Linked DNA regions of Drosophila melanogaster. The protein of the gene in region 1 interacts with the protein of each later gene in a pairwise test. Each region holds a gene or a part of one and is shown in the gene's direction. Other genes may lie near its edges. The genes, in order: RpL35, CG3939, CG2021 and CG11327.

Region 1 (4,462 bases):
AGTGTTGGCCGGCAGCCCGCCTCAAAGCATCTTGGATGATGTGCAAATGGTGAGTAGTTTGAAGCGATACGATACGATACGATAACCACTACCATTCTATGAACTAATCCAAACTCTATCCCTCTCGCTCTGTTTCAATGTTTCAAATCTTCAGGTACTCGACGAGGAAGCCGAGGTCTTTGTGGTGAAGATGTGGCGTCTGCTCATTTACGAACTGGACGCCAAGAAGAGCGGCCTTGCGGGGAAGTAGTAAGGAGATGGGAGAGATGCCCGTCGTGCGCATCACTGGGGAACTGGGCGGGAGCAGGTGCGGATCCGAGGTATCGATGGAGGAGCAACAGCGTGAAGTTAGATTCTAAGTTACTCTTACGGAACCTATGCGATTACAAAAATGTACATAAGGGGCGTGCTCCGGGAATTGTTGCGGCCAAATGTCCAGCTTTGTTTTCTAAGCATCCGTCGCGTGCAAGGGATTTACAAGAAATTGATGAATAGCGAGCGAGCCAATCGTGAAGAACAGCTTCATTGATTTCTAAATCCACCTTGTTAGCGTTAATTAATAAATATTAATCATCGATAATTGTAAATATAAACCGAACTCACTTATAAATTTACACCACCAGATGCAATAGAAATAAAAAAAATCGCATAGCCCATGTACATTTCAGTTGGTCACTAATCCAATTCTCCACTTTATTTGTTGCGTTTGTGAACGCAAATGGAAAACTATCATCATGTCAATAAAATAATGAAAAGAAAATGCTGAACTTGACTTTTGACTGGTCGCAGACGAAATGCAAGCAGATGGACAATAAGCCGTACAGGAATATTAGAAGGATAGAATTTAAAAAGGATTCTGACTGATCTGCAAACCCTGCAAGCTAAGTGAATCGATAGCCCTGCTCAGATTGGAGTACACGATTGAACGTTAAGGTTGATTGACTTTATGCTAGTGATATTGAAACGATTAAATAAATACACGATATAAATTTGACAAAAGCACGCATAACATTCGAAATCAACAGTAACACGTAGACGCGCTTGCCTCCAGATCCCGATCGCTGGCGATGTCCAGACCGGCGGAGGCATTGCCATTGTTGAAGTATTCGGAGGAGACGATCTGCAAAGCGGATGTGGATAATTGGAAACACGAATGCCAAGTATTTGGTTGGTAGCTAGCTCACCTTCTCCACCACATCTTTGAACACATCGCTGACGAACTGATCGCATTTGGCTGAGGTCTCGATGAAGAGCGCCCTGTGCTTCCTGGCAAACTTTCGACCCTCCTCGCGATCCACAACTCGCTCCTCGTCGATCTTGTTGCCTACCACAATGATGGCAATGTTGGGATTGTCGCTGTAGCTATCCAGTTCAGCCAGCCAGGTTTCCAGCTTGACCAGGCTGTCCCTGCTGGTGATGTCGTACACTAGAATGGCGCCCAGAGCCTTCCGATAGAAACTGGGCGTCAGGCTGCGGAATCTCTCGGCGCCCGCCGTATCCCACAGGGCCACCTTGTAGTCTATGCCGTCCACCTGCATCACTTTGCTCTTGAAGTCCATGCCAATCGTGACGTCATGGTTCTGGTCGAACTTGTTCTCCACGAAGCGACGTATCAAACTATGATGAAATGATAATGAAAGTTGATGAGTGATGCAAGCTTTTGGTAATATACGCAGTGGAATTGCTCCATGGACTTGGGACTGCACCTGGACTTGCCCACGCCGCTTTCCCCGATCACCAGCAGCTTGATAGCCCGATCAGCCATTGTGTGGTTTGAGCTCCGCTTAATGCTTATCACTACTGTTATTTACTTAAAACGATAAGAATATTGCCAATTGTATTATTTATGTAGATTATCTGGAGTAAGTGAGTGCGGCGTTGCCACCTTGCTGCTTTGTTTACATTCTCACGATAGAGATGGACCACTGTAACAGCAGCCTTGCCAGACCGCCACTTCGATCTAGTGGTGACCTGTGGCCGTAATCTGGCTACTTTTTTGCACACACATTTAGCTTCTTAAAATAATTTAATTCCACCCTTTTAACAAAACCGATCGGGTCTTGACTTAGGAGGACTAACTATATTTAAAAAAATAATTCTGTTGTTACTACCATAATAAACGCGCAATGAAAACTAAAACACGTTAAGCAGATCAAATTTTGTTGCCACATAGGTAACAGTGCGTTCCTTATATTGTTGTATAAAAATTAATTAAAAAAAAAAAATTAATTATAAAAAATAATTATAAAATATCATAAATTTAGGATTCCTTCTGCGCTCAAAATAGTTGGTGTTATAATTATTTTATATAAACGTTTAAATTATATAAGAAATAATTTTCCTCGAAAAATAATTCCGAAACGCGTAATGTCTTAATTTTATAGCTCTCTAAAATGGTATTATTTAGCTTTTCATTGGCATTAGCAAAATAAAAAAGTAAATATTGTGATTGAATATTTTTGCAATCGTAGTAATTTGATTTATCTATTTTAATGACGGACTCGGAACCGGTTCGATATCAGCGTTGCCACTGGTTCGACGCTCGAAGTTACAATAGTGCCACCACCAACTAGTTCTTTCCTCCAAGTCCCATCTTTCTTTTTTGACGTGACCAGCGAGAAAAATGGTTGGTATTTTGTGAGCGAAAAGATTTCTAACCTATTTTACAACGAAACGAACAATTAAAAGCCAAAGTAATGGCTAAAACGCGCCCCAAATTACTGCCGTTCATGGTGTTAACACAAAATGCGATTAATAATGCAGTACCACGCTAGTTGAGACGCGCAACGCTAGCACACTATTTTGTGCTCACCCCTAGCACCTCTGCTTCTTCTTCTTTCCTTTTCTTTTCGCCGCGTTTCCGGAGAGGTTGCGTTAAGCCACGTGCTGAATTTCTTAATTTGCTGGTTTAGTGAATACGGAAAATTCGTTGGTTTTTTTGTTCTGTGCTGAGTGTTAAAGAGCAGAGCTAGAAAAATGGTTGGTTGGTTACACCCATCGACACCCGATGCTCTCAGCCCAAGGGCCAATGAACATGCCATTTGCAGTGCAGCGATACTAATGTTCTTGTTTTCTGCCCGTTTGTTTGTGCTCCCGTCCAGGTGAAGGTTAAGTGCTCCGAGCTGAGGATCAAGGACAAGAAGGAACTCACCAAGCAATTGGATGAGCTCAAGAATGAGTTGCTCAGCCTGCGCGTGGCCAAGGTGACCGGCGGAGCTCCCTCCAAGCTCTCCAAGATGTGAGTATGCCGCGGCACAACGACAAGCGTCACGAACTAATTCCGGTGTTTTGTGCATTTATGTGCGTTCTTATCCATACAGCCGCGTTGTCCGCAAGGCCATCGCTCGCGTCTACATTGTGATGCACCAGAAGCAGAAGGAGAATCTGCGCAAGGTCTTCAAGAACAAGAAGTACAAGCCCCTGGATCTGCGCAAGAAGAAGACCCGCGCTATCCGCAAGGCCCTGTCTCCGCGCGACGCCAACCGCAAGACCCTCAAGGAGATCCGCAAGCGCTCCGTCTTCCCCCAGAGGAAGTTCGCCGTCAAGGCCTAGAATGCATCCAGATACTCCGACTGTCTATAGTGCGCGTTAAGGGTTCTTCGGTACAATGAAGAAGAAAAACTAAATAAAATCTTTTTTTTAAAGTGAAAATAGCGATGCGTGTTTGATTTTGTGACCGAAAAAACGCGAGTGGCACATGGCTTTGGCCATGGGTTCATGGAAATTAGTTAAAAAACAAAAAAACAAGTGCCGCATTCCCTGTTCTACATATGTTAGTCGGATCCAATGGGATCTACTTAACTACTTGTGGTCCTTAAGATCATTATAGAGCAAAAACGTTGAGTTAGCGCCTTGTAGAAGTAATGGCAAATCTTAAGTTCAATCTTTAATTCAGCCTTCTTTGAATATGCAAACTTGAAAAACACCAGAATTCTCAATTGGTCTACGTATATGTATTTAATTCGATTGTCTTTGATGTAAGCACGGCCATACATCGTAAATAATTATGAACTAACAAGTAATAAGTAGGTAATTGATATGAATTACAAGCTCTCGACTGCGAGCTCGATCATACTGAATATGTTTGGCACATTTGGTTAATACTATTCTTCTGCACAGCGTGAAACAGCGGCGTGCTGCGGATGACGCCCGACAGCTCCTTGGAGTTCTTGCTTTGGTGATAGTTTCTACTCGGCATCGGCGACAACGGTTCGCCCCAGAACTTGAGCAGCGCAAAGATCTTGTAGTAGGCCACTCTGAAATAGAAGATAGATTCGCTATTAGCAGCTAAACCCGATAGCAGCCAAAACTGCCAGCAAACTTACCTGTAGTTGCGATTGCTGGCCGCATAGATGATCGGGTTAATGACACTGGAAGCCCAGGCCATCACGGAGGCGATGATGTGCAGCCAGGGGTACGAGGTATTGCGCTCGTCGTCCACCACATTGGCCAGCATTAGCGG
Region 2 (4,608 bases), 2.5 Mb from region 1:
CTTATGTCAAAACATAACAAAAAAAAAAAAATGTACTATGTGTTAAATTACAATATTTGGAACATTTCGACTAGATCTCCTTCTTGGACTCGTCCACTTCCGTTTCCGCTGCCATTGCTGTTGCATTCAATGGCGGATTTTCAGATTCCTCGGCATCGTCATCACTGACGTTCTCCGTCTTCTTGCCGCCCGGAACGAAGGGGCAAACGCCGCCCTTGCACTCGAATGGGAAGTCGGGTCCCTTTTTGATCACATTGCCATCGTCGTCCTTCTTCTCCCAGGGATTCCAGTAGCGCAACAGGATCGGCTGCACAAATTTGTGCCAAATGTACAGAAGCAGTGGAATGATAATACAGGGCACGCAAACCATTGTTCGGGCTTTAAAAATGGTTAGTTATTGGCGTTGCAAGTGATTACAACAATTGCGGAACGTACCTATTTAATGTTAGCTTACTGGCTCCGGAAAAAAAGTATTTCTCGCTTTGATTTCCTTAATTCAACTATTTATTTATTGTCAAAAATGTCAGTGTAGCCAGTTCACTTGTGTTTGGTATTGAGCCTAAAAACGCCACGCATATACTGTTATCTTAAAAAAAAAAAATACGTACTCTCTAGCAAAGAACGCAACCGGTTGGACTAATATAGTCCGGACTCGAACCAAACCGTTTGAAATCTATTAACCCTTATGTGCACACCTTAGCTTTTTTTTTGCTTTTTTTTTTAGATTTTTTAACACCATGCGCATTTACAATACAGTTGAAATTTTGTCATATCATATATTTATTTCATTTGCACAGTGCTTAACCCATCAATGGGCAACGGTAGGGAACGCCAGAGCGACAACAGTACTCCCTGCCCGCCTGCAGATTGGTATTAACCCATTGATTGTGACAGTTCTTGATGAACAAATAGGCCCGTTCCTTGTGACAATCGTGACCCAGTGCGGAGCATACTATATTTGCGGAATTCGGCAGATGTTGTACGATCTAAAATGGACGAAATGGTGAGTTATAGAGCGCTTCTCCTCATCTTTTCCTCCTCGTTTCCCCAGTACTCACCGTCTCTAGGCATTTGGTTTGACACTGCTTGCGACCGATGGCATTGCAGGGAAACATATGATCCAATTCCTGGTGGATAAGTGGCTTTGTCGGCAAGCCATTTGGGATTTGCGAGGAGAGGAAGACGCCGCATGTGCACGGCACTGGCTGATTATCCTGCACAGGCAGTCCCGCTGTCGGTGGCAAGGGAATGGTGCTAACCAGACTGCTGCTGCTCGATGGGTTTGTGCTCATCAGCGGACTCGCGGTGGTTGGCTCCATCGATCGTGTGGATCCTTCCGACGATCCGATGATGGGTGCCTCGCCAACGGTCGTTTCGGTGGTGCCATTGTTACCAATGGTTTCCGTGCTGGCTTCCAATTCGCTTGCGGGCGTTGTCATAATCACAAACTCAACGGCCGTGGGCCAATCCTCTTCGGCTGTTGTGCTGCTACTTGCAACACCAGTGCTGCTCATGGTGCTGGTTTCCAGTTTGACGGGCTTCGTCTTTATACGCTTGTCCTTGATGATGTTGCTATTGCCATAGAGCGGCTTCTTGTAGACTATCTTGGATGCCTCCAAATGGATGGCTAGCAGAAGTGTCAGCAGCAGCAGGGAATTTTTAAAGGCGCCTGATATATGAAATATATACGATATGAAATGTGTTCTTTAGCTAATATTACTTTCAAAGCTTACCCATCTTGGTATCTACGGAAACACTGAATACTTCTGCCTTTGCGCCATCCATTTTATATAAGCCATTTTCTTACTTGGCTTGCAGTTTTTCAAGATTTCGGTCTTCCATTTTAGTCGGCCCCCAACGAAGTTCAAGTTGTGAGAACCGGCAAAATTGTGTCAGGGTTAAGTCTGATTAAGCAGAATTTTCACACAAAGCGAGTGGAATTCATTCATTTGGAGGAAAGTGAGAAGAAAGAAAAAGAATTACTTCCGAAAATTATGCGTAATCAATAAACCCAAAAGTTGTGTCTTGAGCTGCACAAAGTTTACCTTACCGTTCTAAACTACTTTCCAAAATCTTTTTAAATATCCCGCCAAACTGCAATGAAACTGTTATGATTATAATAACATAATGGATAACATAAATAAACGGCCGATTAAACAGCAATTATTATCCAAATTATACAAGTTATAATATGGTAATATTAACAAACATTTCAACATAAGCAAAGCTTTGGTTTTTAATCTAATTATAGATTTAATTTAATTTTCATTTTTTGGTTTGTTTTTCGTTAAGTTAGTATTTTTTGCGCTGTTTATGGAACTTAACAGAAATACCAATCAATATTGGGCGGCCAACATTTGAAATATAAATACAGATTATCGATATGTATCTTGAACGAAGTTTTAAATGTTTGTTATTTGTTAAACTCAACAATCCTATAGATTTATGCCATAAAAATGTCAAAATTATCGTTGCTTCAAATGATTTAAGTACAAAATTCGAGTTTCGATAAACGGTTAACAGTGCCGTACTCACCACGGTGCGCCCAACAGCACGCACACACAGCCGGCTGTGGTGGGTTCGCTGGACAGGCAGTGTGGTGAATATACTAGTTGCTGGAGCTTGCCGCAAAAAAAAAAAAAAAGAAAACAAAACAGATCGAAAAACACAGCAAACAACAAAATTATACGCCATTAATTACCCGATAAACTTACCGATGGCCGATAAGCAACGGCTAAGTGATCCGTAACACCCAGCGATAAGATCCAGATAAGATTGGAATTAAATTTTGGGTTTGCCATCCGCATCGAAATCGCCGCAATCGGAATTTACTTGTACACCAGCCAACTCGCCGTTCAAGACGTCCAAGTTTTTTTTAATCCAGAAATCCCATACACTGCCAAAATGCCCGAATATGTGCCGGCACGGGGCTTCAAGGAGATGGAAAATCTGATCAAGCTGTACGAGAACCAGCGCAGCCCCATCTACATCTACTTCTACGGCGAGAAAGACAAGGACGGACGCAGCTGGTGTCCGGACTGCGTGGCGGGTAGGTGACGAATTCTCCTCGCCCAGCGGGGCGTTACTAGTCCAGTTGGGCACTCTACATTCTGCTTATCACGCTTCTCATTTGTGGGTTTCAGTTAGTTACTTTCTACCCAGCTAACTTGAGTTACTTTTGATTTGATTTTCGCTCTCCATTGAGAGTTCCATCTACATTGTACATTGTCCTCATCATTTCGATTCATTTCATCGCAGAGTTATAACATAACATAAAGAAGTGACATACATTAAGTTAATCCCATTATCGCTGATATTTTCCAGCCGAGGAAACTATCATGAGTGCCTTTCGCAACCACGCGCCGGCGGATTGCATGATCCTGGTGGTGGACGTGGGTAGCCGGGAATCCTGGATAGGCAAGGACAACATGTTCCGAAAGCCGCCATACTCGGTGGAAGGCATACCGACCCTTATACGCTGGAAGGGCGTGGAGCGCCTGGATGGGGATCAGCTGCTCAAGTCGAGTCTTCTGGAGCTCTTTTTCGAGGAGACCGATCCGAAGAAGTCCAATTTTGTCGCCCAATAAAACGCGATTTGGCTTTGGCTTAAACTCACTCCCACTCTCAGTCTCTCTCTCTATCACTCTCTCTCTCTCTCTCTCGCTGCGGCTCTCTTTCTCTTTGCTGCTTTGCGCTCAACTCGGTGGAAAGAACGAGTGAAATTGTCGTTGGGAGGGGTGGTGCTAAAAAAGGGGGGAATGGAGAAATGGGGGAGAACAGAATGAGTGGAGCATTTCTGGCTGGCAGCGCGTCGCTCGGCATTTACTCGTTTATTTGCACGCATGTCGTCGACCAGGACGAATCGTTTGGCAGAGCGCGGCTGAAAAAGGAATCGAAAACGGGGCTATAACGGTAATAGCGGCACACGCGTCCAACGGTAAACACGCGTGCCAACGCGCCATCTCGCTCGCACGCGCTAATGCCGCGATTTAAGTTTTGTTTTATTTTTTGCAAGTGTTCGAATCAAAAAGCCTAACAAAACACAAAACCCGAAACAGTTCTCAAGAAATACATAGGTAAATGCAAAGTAAGATATGTATATATGTAGCTAAACATAGCGGAAAAGCGCAGAGTATCATTGAATTTGAAGCACACGACCGCACAGTTTTGCAAGCTGATTAACTGTAAACATGCTGAACATAAACAATGGATAAAAAAACATGATAGATCCTGCCTAAAAGTGAATGGTTATAAATTAAGAATGGGCTTGCAACGGTAAATCCTGTTGCGTTTTGCTTTAACTGTTTGAAAATAAAAAAAAATATATATTTAATAATAGAATAATAAAAGGTTTCGTAAGTAAAGTAACATCAAAACTAAACTAAAGGTAAATGTATAAATTGATCAAATGTTTTAAAAAGTAATACGTTCAATATTTAGCCAATGCAAAACCAGGCAAACGCAATTTACCGTAACTTCTTAGCCAAAAACCCTGTTGCTTCGGCCGCGTTGCATATTAATTGTGTGGCAAGACTGTTGCTTCTTCTCGTTCGATTTGTTTGGTAACTTTTACGTTAAATCATTGACAAAATCAATGAATAAATAAAT
Region 3 (3,520 bases), on another chromosome or scaffold:
GTTCGAAGCAATTCTCGATGTTGTCGACCCCAACCGCGATGGCTACGTCTCTCTGCAGGAATACATCGCGTTCATGATCTCCAAGGAGACGGAGAACGTTCAATCCTACGAGGAGATCGAGAATGCCTTCCGCGCCATCACCGCTGCCGACCGCCCCTATGTAACTAAGGAGGAGCTCTACTGCGTAAGTTCAATATTCCTCGATTACTGAAAGTTTCAACCCATGCCACTACTAACATCTTTGCTTTCTTGCCACAGAACCTCACCAAGGACATGGCTGACTACTGCGTGCAGCGCATGAAACCCTTCTCGGAACCGCGCTCCGGCCAGCCCATCAAGGATGCCCTGGACTACATAGACTTCACGCGAACGCTGTTCCAGAACTAAAGAGCCTGCATTGTCTTATTTAGTGGCGCCTGAGCATATGTCTTACAATTTAAAGTATATTTCTAAAAACCAACAAAACACAAAAAAAAATCAAACAAAAATATATATTTACACCATTATTTTCGATAATTTAGTCTCTAAGTCAAACAGTTTAATGCTTATTTAAGAACCTATGCCACAATGAACCTTAAATCAACAATAGCACCTTGCAATACATATTTATCAACATGACTATGAACCATTTCTAGTTTTTGCATTTATTTATCAACAGCCCAATGAGAAAGTATCTTAAATTTTGACGTTTCAGTTTGAGAATTGGCTACGCGTCCGGTCGCCGAAGAAGATATCTAATCGAGAACATTGTCACAGTAATTTGATCAACTTGCGCCTGAAAAGCAGATAAAAAGCTTAGCTTCCAGTAATCGAGCACACATTTTCAATATTGAATGTCTGTAACTTGTAACGAACATAGATACAACTGATATACCAAAAAGATTTAAGATACTCTTGCTACCAGAAATGCATAATAACCAGCCTTTTATGTTTCCTCCAGTTTCTACGTGTATTCGAAACGAAAGTAGTAAGCTTTTTCAAAGCAGAAAAAAAAAAGAAAAACAAAACAATAAATATTTGCCTCTGTATTGGACGTATATTTACAACTCGTGAATTGCAAAAATAAATATATTGCTGCATGTCTAAATATGTTAAATGAGTGGAGTTTTTATTAAAAATTCAGGGGAGTCTGTAATCTGATTTTGCAGAAGGAAGTTGGCAAAAGTATCAGCATCTCACCAGATTCTTCTCAAATGAAAGGCAGCTAGTAGATAGATATTCCTCTGAAGTATTTTTATTTATTTGTTAGATATCAAAACAATTTTAACAATTACGATTACAACAAGAACTTTTTAACGCTTTGGGCATAGGCTGTATTGGTCAGCTTTTCATTGAGCGCCTCCTTGGGAAGCCACTCGAACTTGGTCAGATTTTCGGGCACCTGGCCGGACCGCAGGGATGCTCTGTAGAAGAAGACCTTGGCTCCGACAGTCTCCGTCCGCTGGTTTCTGGGATACTTGTATTTGTGGAAGCCCACTGGGGCGTTGCCGTAGAAAAGAACCTGCAGCTCCTGGCCGCAACTCTCGCGGAGCACTCTTTCTGCAGTCTGACGCATGGACTCTCCCTCCTCACGCTTTCCCTGCGGTAGAATGAGGTGCTCCTGCTGGCCCAGCTTCTGCTGTACCAAAAGGTAGAGCGTGTCATCCAGACAGCGGTCCGTGGAGGTGGTTCTGTTGGCCTGGTCATCGGGCGTGGTGCGGGAGCCCAACTGGAACTTTTTTAGCTCCTCGACGTAGGCGTCCTTGAGGTCCTGAGCTGTCTGCTTGGATCCTGCGTCCTCCAAGTCCACCTGGATCTTGCCCTGCTTTATGAGCTCCGCCTGGACGATCTCACGTTCATGCTTGAGTTCATGGTCAGACTTCAGGCTGTTTTCGTACTCCACGCGCCATAGCAAGTCTTGGAACTGTTTTTCCAGCGGATTAAGGGACTTGGACACCACAGGGAGACGCTCTACGAGCACTCCGGCGTACAGGTCCCACTTTTCCGCGCTGGCGGTTGACGATTGGGCTCGGCTCAACTCCCGGGCACCCACTTGGACAATGCGACGCAGCATTTTAATCAGTTTAATTTAATTTTTTCGGAAAATAGAATGTTGACCACCGATTACATGAGCACCAGAGCCGGAACAGCTGATTTGCGGCACAGTTATCGTTATCGGAGAGCGCGTCGCTAGCCTCTTGCCACAATTAGTATTTATTTTGTTCTGTTTGGAGAAGTTATCAAGGAAAGACTGCTAAAATGTCCGGTCTGGAGTCGTATATCAATCACACAGTCTCCATCATTACGGCAGACGGACGGAACTTCATCGGGACACTCAAGGGATTCGACCAGACCATCAATATCATCATAGACGAGTGCCATGAGCGCGTCTTCTCTACCACCTCCGGCATCGAGCAAATCGTGCTGGGACTGCACATCATCCGGGGGGACAACATCGCGGTGATCGGACTGATAGACGAGACCATCGACTCCCGCCTGGATTTGGCCAACATTAGGGGCGAGCCGCTGGGTCCCGTGGTGCACTAGGATAGCGAATAAAACCAGTGATTCTCAAGACTTAACAGGGTGTATTATTTGTATTAATGAAGTTTCTTATTCTGCATCTACGCTAAAGTTGACCATGCGGCAATCCAGCGTATCCAGGTCAACGACGGCCACACTCTGTGTTTTGCTAAAACTGGGCACGCAGACTAGGCGGGTGCGCTTGCCTTCGGAACCCTCGTGCAGCTCGGTCGCAAACGACTCGCAGTTGCCGGCGTAGTAAACGTGCGGACACTCGCGCAGGATGAAGGGATCACTTTCGATGTACGGGTAGCACGCTAGAGTGTCCGGTGCAGTGGGAGCAACATGTCCCCAGGTGAGGGTGCAGCGAAGGGCCTCCAGCGCCGAGTCCAGCGAAGTGCTGCGCAACAGATCCGATACATTCTGGCCAGATGTGCCTACCACCAGGGCCTCATCCAGCCGGCAGCTGTACGGATTAGTCACCGCCTGGAAAGTTGCCAGTTGAGCAGCCTGGGGAAACATGCACTTGTGGAACGGCTGCTGGGGCAGCATAAAGTTGGCCGGGTCGTAGGGTCCCGGCATTATGTCGACGGGCAGACTGCGTGCCCATGAGGCAAACCACTGGTCTAGCTGGGAAACGGCCTGGACTGTGTCATTTGCGTTCGCCTGGGTGCGTGCCACCTGTAGGGTGGGCACATGTGCCATGGCACTGGCTCTCACCGAGTTTCCAGCCACGATAAGACGCACCATGGAGCCCGCTTCCTTGTTGTTTCCAAGACTGCCGGCCAGCCAGTACTGAAAGAGATTCAATGCCTCCACAAATTTGTGGGCCTGCAGTTGGTCCAACCCAGACGCCAGCACCAGGAGGCGGCTTCTTTTAATGGGGGCCAGTGGCTTCTGAGGTCCACTTTCGTAGAAGAGTATATCCTCCACGTTAAAAAATCCGTCACTGTCTGTTCCACCGAGGGCAGCGCACACAACTCCAGTGGCTAAGAGCTGTCCATTTAGCTTGCCCTGA
Region 4 (5,223 bases), on another chromosome or scaffold:
TCGCCGACTACTACTCCGTGGATTATCGCAGGCAAACGTGCCTGGACGTCGATGAGTGCCGCACTGGGTTCTTCCGATGCCCGGAGCATTCTACTTGCATCAACGAGATTGTGAGTACGATACAAATTTAAAAAAAAATAGTTTAAAAGTAATAGATTTCTTTCGCAGGGTTCCTACAGATGCCAATGCCACGAAGGATATGTAACAAATGGCACCTACAGCTGCCTAGACAGATCCTCGGTGTTCATGTGTCCGGATGGAACCGTTTGTGACCGCAATGCCGTGTGCCTTAGGATGGATAACATCCGCCACAAGTGTCACTGCAATGTGGGATGGGCGGGCAACGGTTTGATTTGCGGTAGGGATACCGACGTAGATGGATGGCCAGATCAGGCAATCGGTTGTCCAGAGCTGCGCTGTCAGCGAGACAACTGCCCGAAGTTGCCTAATTCAGGCCAGGAGGACGCCGATCTGGATGGACATGGCGATGGGTGCGACGACGATGCCGATGGCGACAATGTCCAGAACAGCCAAGACAACTGCTGGCTGGCCTACAACACCGAGCAGCTGGACTCGGATGGAGACAAGGTGGGCGATGTGTGCGACAACTGCGTGCTTAAGTACAATCCCAGGCAGTTGGACACGGACGAGGATGGACTGGGAGACGAGTGCGATGGTGATATCGACAACGACTCCATACCAAATGCGCTAGACAACTGTCCGCTGCTGCCGAATCCCAGTCAGTCGGACGTGGACAACGATGGTGTGGGCGACGCTTGCGATAACTGTCCGAATCTTCCGAATCCCGACCAAAAGGATCGCGACATGGACTTTGTAGGCGATGCCTGTCACAGAGACATCGACGGGGATGATGATGGAGTTCCAAACTCGCTGGACAACTGCCCAATGGTCAGTAACTCGGACCAGCTGGACACTGACGGTGATGGAACGGGCGATGAGTGCGATGACGACATGGACGGAGATGGGATACCCAACTACAAGGACAACTGTCCGCTGGCCAAGAACCCAAAGCAGGACGACTTCAATCGGAATGGCAAGGGTGACTCTTGCGAAGATGATGAGGACGTAGATGGTGTACCGAATGGCATGGACAACTGCCCGAACAACTCGATGATTCATCACACTGACTTTCGCACTCTTCAAACCATTCCACTGGATCCCAAAGGCCTATCGCAAGCGGATCCCAACTGGGTGGTACACGCCAATGGCACCGAGATAGTCCAGACCCTCAATTCGGATCCGGGACTAGCGGTGGGCAAGGACGCCTTCGGAGGCGTTGACTTCGACGGCACCTTTTATATCAACGATGACACGGACGATGACTACGCTGGCTTTGTGTTCAGCTACCAGAGCAGCTACAAGTACTACGTGGTGCAGTGGAAGAAGGGCACCCAAACCTACTGGGAGCCACGACCCTTCACCGCCTCTGCGGCGCCGGGCATCCAGATCAAGCTGGTCAACAGCACCGAGGGTCCGGGCCCAATGATGAGGAACAGCCTGTGGCACGAGGGAAACACCGACGGTGAGGCCAGGCTGCTGTGGAAGGATCCGAAGAACATTGCGTGGAAGGAAAGGACCTCCTACCGCTGGTCCCTGGTGCATCGACCGGCCATCGGCCTCATCCGCCTGCAGTGAGTGATGGCACCATGACAGGGTTCCCATGTCTTCATTCTCCTTCTACCCACAGAATGCACGAGGGTAACCGCCTGATCTTCGACTCGGGCAATGTGTTTGACTCCACGCTGAAGGGCGGTCGGCTGGGCGTGTTCTGCTTCTCACAGAGGATGATTATATGGTCCAACCTGCAGTACAAGTGCAATAGTAAGGGAAATCGAAACAAAGTGGTAACTTCAACTGAACTAAACTTTTTTCTATGCTTTTCAAAACAGATCGTGTGAAGCCGCTGATCTACAATGATCTGTCCGACTATCTCAAGACGAAGGTGGAGTTGCAGGACTGAGGGGAATCGCAATCCTCAGAGCCATTAACGTCTTTTCTGCCATCAATTCTAACCAAATTATGTATTAATGCTACCACTAAGTTAATAAATGAGTTGCCAATCCAGTTGGCCATTGGAGCCGCGTTTTCCAACACAAAAATGAACTGAATCAAGTTGGCCTGGCTGCACGTGAAATCAGGAGACATTGCCTGTCAATCCATTTAGTTCAATTGCCACAGTTAGGCGAACACACTTTCGCTAGGGAACGTTTTGATCACCGAAATAAGGGAAAACCCATGTTGAAAACATTGATATAATATTTCACGGATGTCGAACTAGTTAACCAGGTTAAATTCAGTCAGTCTTGCGTAAATTTATAAAGGGTAAGTTGGAGCACAGTGCTCTACCAAATTGTGCTGACCTCATTCATTTATGCGTCCAAATAGCCACGATGGCCAGCCGCAATGTGCAAGCAACTCCATCCCAGGAAGAGCTGAAGCGGACTGAGAACAACAAGAATGTGAAAAACTCCGAAGAATGTCAATCAATGGAAAACGATGTGGACGCGGTTGTCCCATCTTCGTCGGAGAGTGAGCTGCGGCCTCGCAGTTCGGGAGTTAGGCCCACTAAAATTCCGGCTCCACTTTTCTTGGGACCCAGTGCCAGCAGCCGGATCTACAGTTCACTGATGCCCGAGAGAAAGCGACGCTCCTCCATGGAAAGTCAACAGATGGCCGACGATTCTGGCATCAATTTGGATTGCTCCACGGACGAGCAGCAGACTACGCTGTCGGCCAGACCGAGTCCAATGCTGCAGCCGATGCTCGACAGGATTCCGGACACTAGCAGCGAGTTGGAGCTCCGACTGGCAGAGGAGCAGACTCTCAAGGAACTTCAACGCGTCGTCGCCGAAATGGAGGCTGATGTGGCTTTTAATAATTTAGATATGCAAAATCTACTGCCCGATGATATTGACCAGGATACACAGGTGCAATATGACGCCACTGATGTGGATACACAGTTGCAAAATGAAGCCTCTGATGTGGAGAATGGTGCCGAGTCTTCCGGACTAGATATGGAACAGCTGACAGGAAACGATATTCAGCAGGAAACACTTCCTGAAACACAACCCGAAGAACTTATACCAGGAAATGTACAGATGGTGGAAAAAGAAATTGCACCGAAAGGGGAATTTCCAGAAATAAAGGAAACTGCCGTGGAAATAGAATCTTTAAAGGAATTCGAAATTGTCCAGCATTTGGGCGAAGAGCCAATAGATGAACACACAGAGATCGTCCAAGAGACCCCGCAAGATCCTACAGACGTAGAATCCGAGAAATCTGTACCCGAATCGGATATGGAGGAACTCGAAACGTTAATTAATGAAAGTAGCGAGTCCGAAGAGGACAGGCTTGTTCGTGAACAATTCGAGAAATACCCTGAAACATTGGAGCCCATGTTTCATCCAACGGCGGATGAGATTGTGTGCATTGACTCGGTCCCGGAACTGGCCGACCATCCCTCACTAGATGGGTCGGTGCAAAACGGTCGCGAGATGGTTACTTTGGATGAACTATTTGATCCGGAGTACAATGTGCACCTAATGCGCCAACTTTTGCAGGCCAGAATAGAAGAGAATAGCGAAGTTGAAACAGCTCCAGACTTGATAGAAAGTGAGCAAGCGGAAGAAAGGGAGACGCTGACGGGCCCGGAGGCGGAAATCGATATGGAGGAGGAAACGGATCCGGACCTAAAACAAACTGGCAAGCCCTTGAGTTTCTTGAGGCGTCTAGTCAACCACAGAATCCTTAAGCTTAGCTATCCCATATTGTTCTGCAGCTTGGCTTTCAGTTTGGTCTATATAATTCGCAAGGAGTAGAAGTTCACTATTCTAGAAATGCAAATTGGATAATGCGAACTTGCGAGAGCATACGTTTCACTACGGTATATCTTAGGAAACACTTCAAAATCGCCCGACGCATTGGCATAGTTGGGTTGCTTTAAATATCTATTTTCCAAATAAATATCCACAATATCACGGCCGCACTGTTTGTAATTTGTATAATTTGTATGTATATTTGAATTAAAGCGCCAATTACTTAACATTCTTTTTGAAACGAGCGCTAGGTGGCGCCTTTGTCAGGTCATACTCTTGTTGGCTAGGGCAGGGTAACGGTTATCGATAACCGGAAACTGCACCTGCCCGTTTACTGTTTTCCCGGAATAATTACCGATGGAGGAACGGCGGAATTCTAAACATGGGGAATTTTTTATTTATTTTTTTTTTTTTGAATGTATAGAGGAATCGTGAAAAATAGCAATGATACGAACTTACAGATCTAACTATGTCGGTGGGACACGGAGAGACTGGTCGGCGGGACTAGTACTAGACGACGGGAAAGAAAATTAATAAATGAAAAGGCTAATTTGACGCAATTCCCGGAATAATAGTTTTTACTTGGAAAATAGTTTGGGATTATTGCAAGTTTTAGTTTTACATAACTATTATATTGAATACAAATATCTTTACTGAACCGCTCCTGTTCAAAGGCAATATTTTTTCGCGTGCTAGCGTGCGGTCACACTGCAGTCGCATACGGTTGTTTCCATATGAACGAACAAACTGTTTTTTTAGCGGAGTGCGCTGCTGTGAAATTTTGAAAGCTCTTTTTGGACCCTTTAATTTTATGTAACGGCTGTGCGGCACATTCAATATCCAAGCGAAAGGAGGTCCACACACTCCCCTGGCGCCGCCTGAGCGTGGTCGTCCTGCTCCGCGCTTCTAGCACCATCACCTCCACCACCACCCCCCCAACCCGTGAAACATAACGCGAAAATCGATTTCGGCTGCAGGCGCAGGAAGAAACTGAAGAAAGTATGTCCCACGGCGATGTGGACCCCGAGGTAGAGATGACATCGCCCCACCGTATTCATGGGGACGCAGGAAGTCACCCAAGGTCGCAGACATTCTGGAAGCTACAGTGCTGGCGGAGCAGCATGCTGCTCATAGTCGGATTTGCATTGTGCGTCCTCGCGCCTGGATGCAGCGCCACGGACACTGACATCGCTCTGGACGCCAAGGCCACGCTCAATCACCGCATCCAGAGCCTGGACCTTCTAGTCTTCGTGTTCCTGCTGGCGCTCACAGTGCTCACAATTTGGCTTTTCAAACACCATCGCGTCTCCTGGCTCCACGAGACGGGATTGGCCGTCATCTACGGTACGTTGGTAACGCGGGCAGCTTTCCCTTTTGGCCATGTTTC

Evidence for each region.
Region 2: the proteins of RpL35 (region 1) and CG3939 interact in a two-hybrid assay, tested with the Drosophila melanogaster proteins (one large-scale study listed by BioGRID).
Region 3: the proteins of RpL35 (region 1) and CG2021 interact in a two-hybrid assay, tested with the Drosophila melanogaster proteins (one large-scale study listed by BioGRID).
Region 4: the proteins of RpL35 (region 1) and CG11327 interact in a two-hybrid assay, tested with the Drosophila melanogaster proteins (one large-scale study listed by BioGRID).

What each region holds. Positions count from the first base shown.
Region 1 is NC_004354.4:5,669,897-5,674,358, forward strand, and holds RpL35 (ribosomal protein L35), read left to right. Parts: upstream 1-2,504; 5' UTR 2,505-2,623; coding exon 2,624-2,626; intron 2,627-2,837; exon of another isoform or gene 2,838-2,976; coding exon of another isoform or gene 2,977-2,979; intron 2,980-3,101; coding exon 3,102-3,238; intron 3,239-3,320; coding exon 3,321-3,552; 3' UTR 3,553-3,651; downstream 3,652-4,462. Other genes in the region: CG4119 (uncharacterized protein), read left to right, coding at 1-49, 155-250; Rab18, read right to left, coding at 1,019-1,120, 1,185-1,617, 1,707-1,765; Tre1 (trapped in endoderm 1), read right to left, coding at 4,070-4,277, 4,326-4,462.
Region 2 is NC_004354.4:3,172,610-3,177,217, forward strand, and holds CG3939 (uncharacterized protein), read left to right. Parts: upstream 1-2,408; 5' UTR 2,409-2,904; coding exon 2,905-3,049; intron 3,050-3,324; coding exon 3,325-3,587; 3' UTR 3,588-3,614; downstream 3,615-4,608. Other genes in the region: CG18508 (uncharacterized protein), read right to left, coding at 71-370; Fcp3C (follicle cell protein 3C), read right to left, coding at 801-986, 1,059-1,669, 1,734-1,785.
Region 3 is NT_037436.4:1,776,049-1,779,568, reverse strand, and holds CG2021 (uncharacterized protein), read left to right. Parts: upstream 1-2,157; 5' UTR 2,158-2,238; coding exon 2,239-2,526; 3' UTR 2,527-2,559; downstream 2,560-3,520. Other genes in the region: alpha-Spec (alpha spectrin), read left to right, coding at 1-184, 259-387; mRpL46 (mitochondrial ribosomal protein L46), read right to left, coding at 1,277-2,053; PolD2 (DNA polymerase delta subunit 2), read right to left, coding at 2,593-3,520.
Region 4 is NT_033779.5:6,683,683-6,688,905, reverse strand, and holds CG11327 (uncharacterized protein), read left to right. Parts: upstream 1-2,193; 5' UTR 2,194-2,343; intron 2,344-2,406; 5' UTR 2,407-2,411; coding exon 2,412-3,839; 3' UTR 3,840-4,064; downstream 4,065-5,223. Other genes in the region: Tsp (thrombospondin), read left to right, coding at 1-110, 169-1,652, 1,709-1,842, 1,911-1,981; Nhe3 (Na[+]/H[+] hydrogen exchanger 3), read left to right, coding at 4,958-5,180.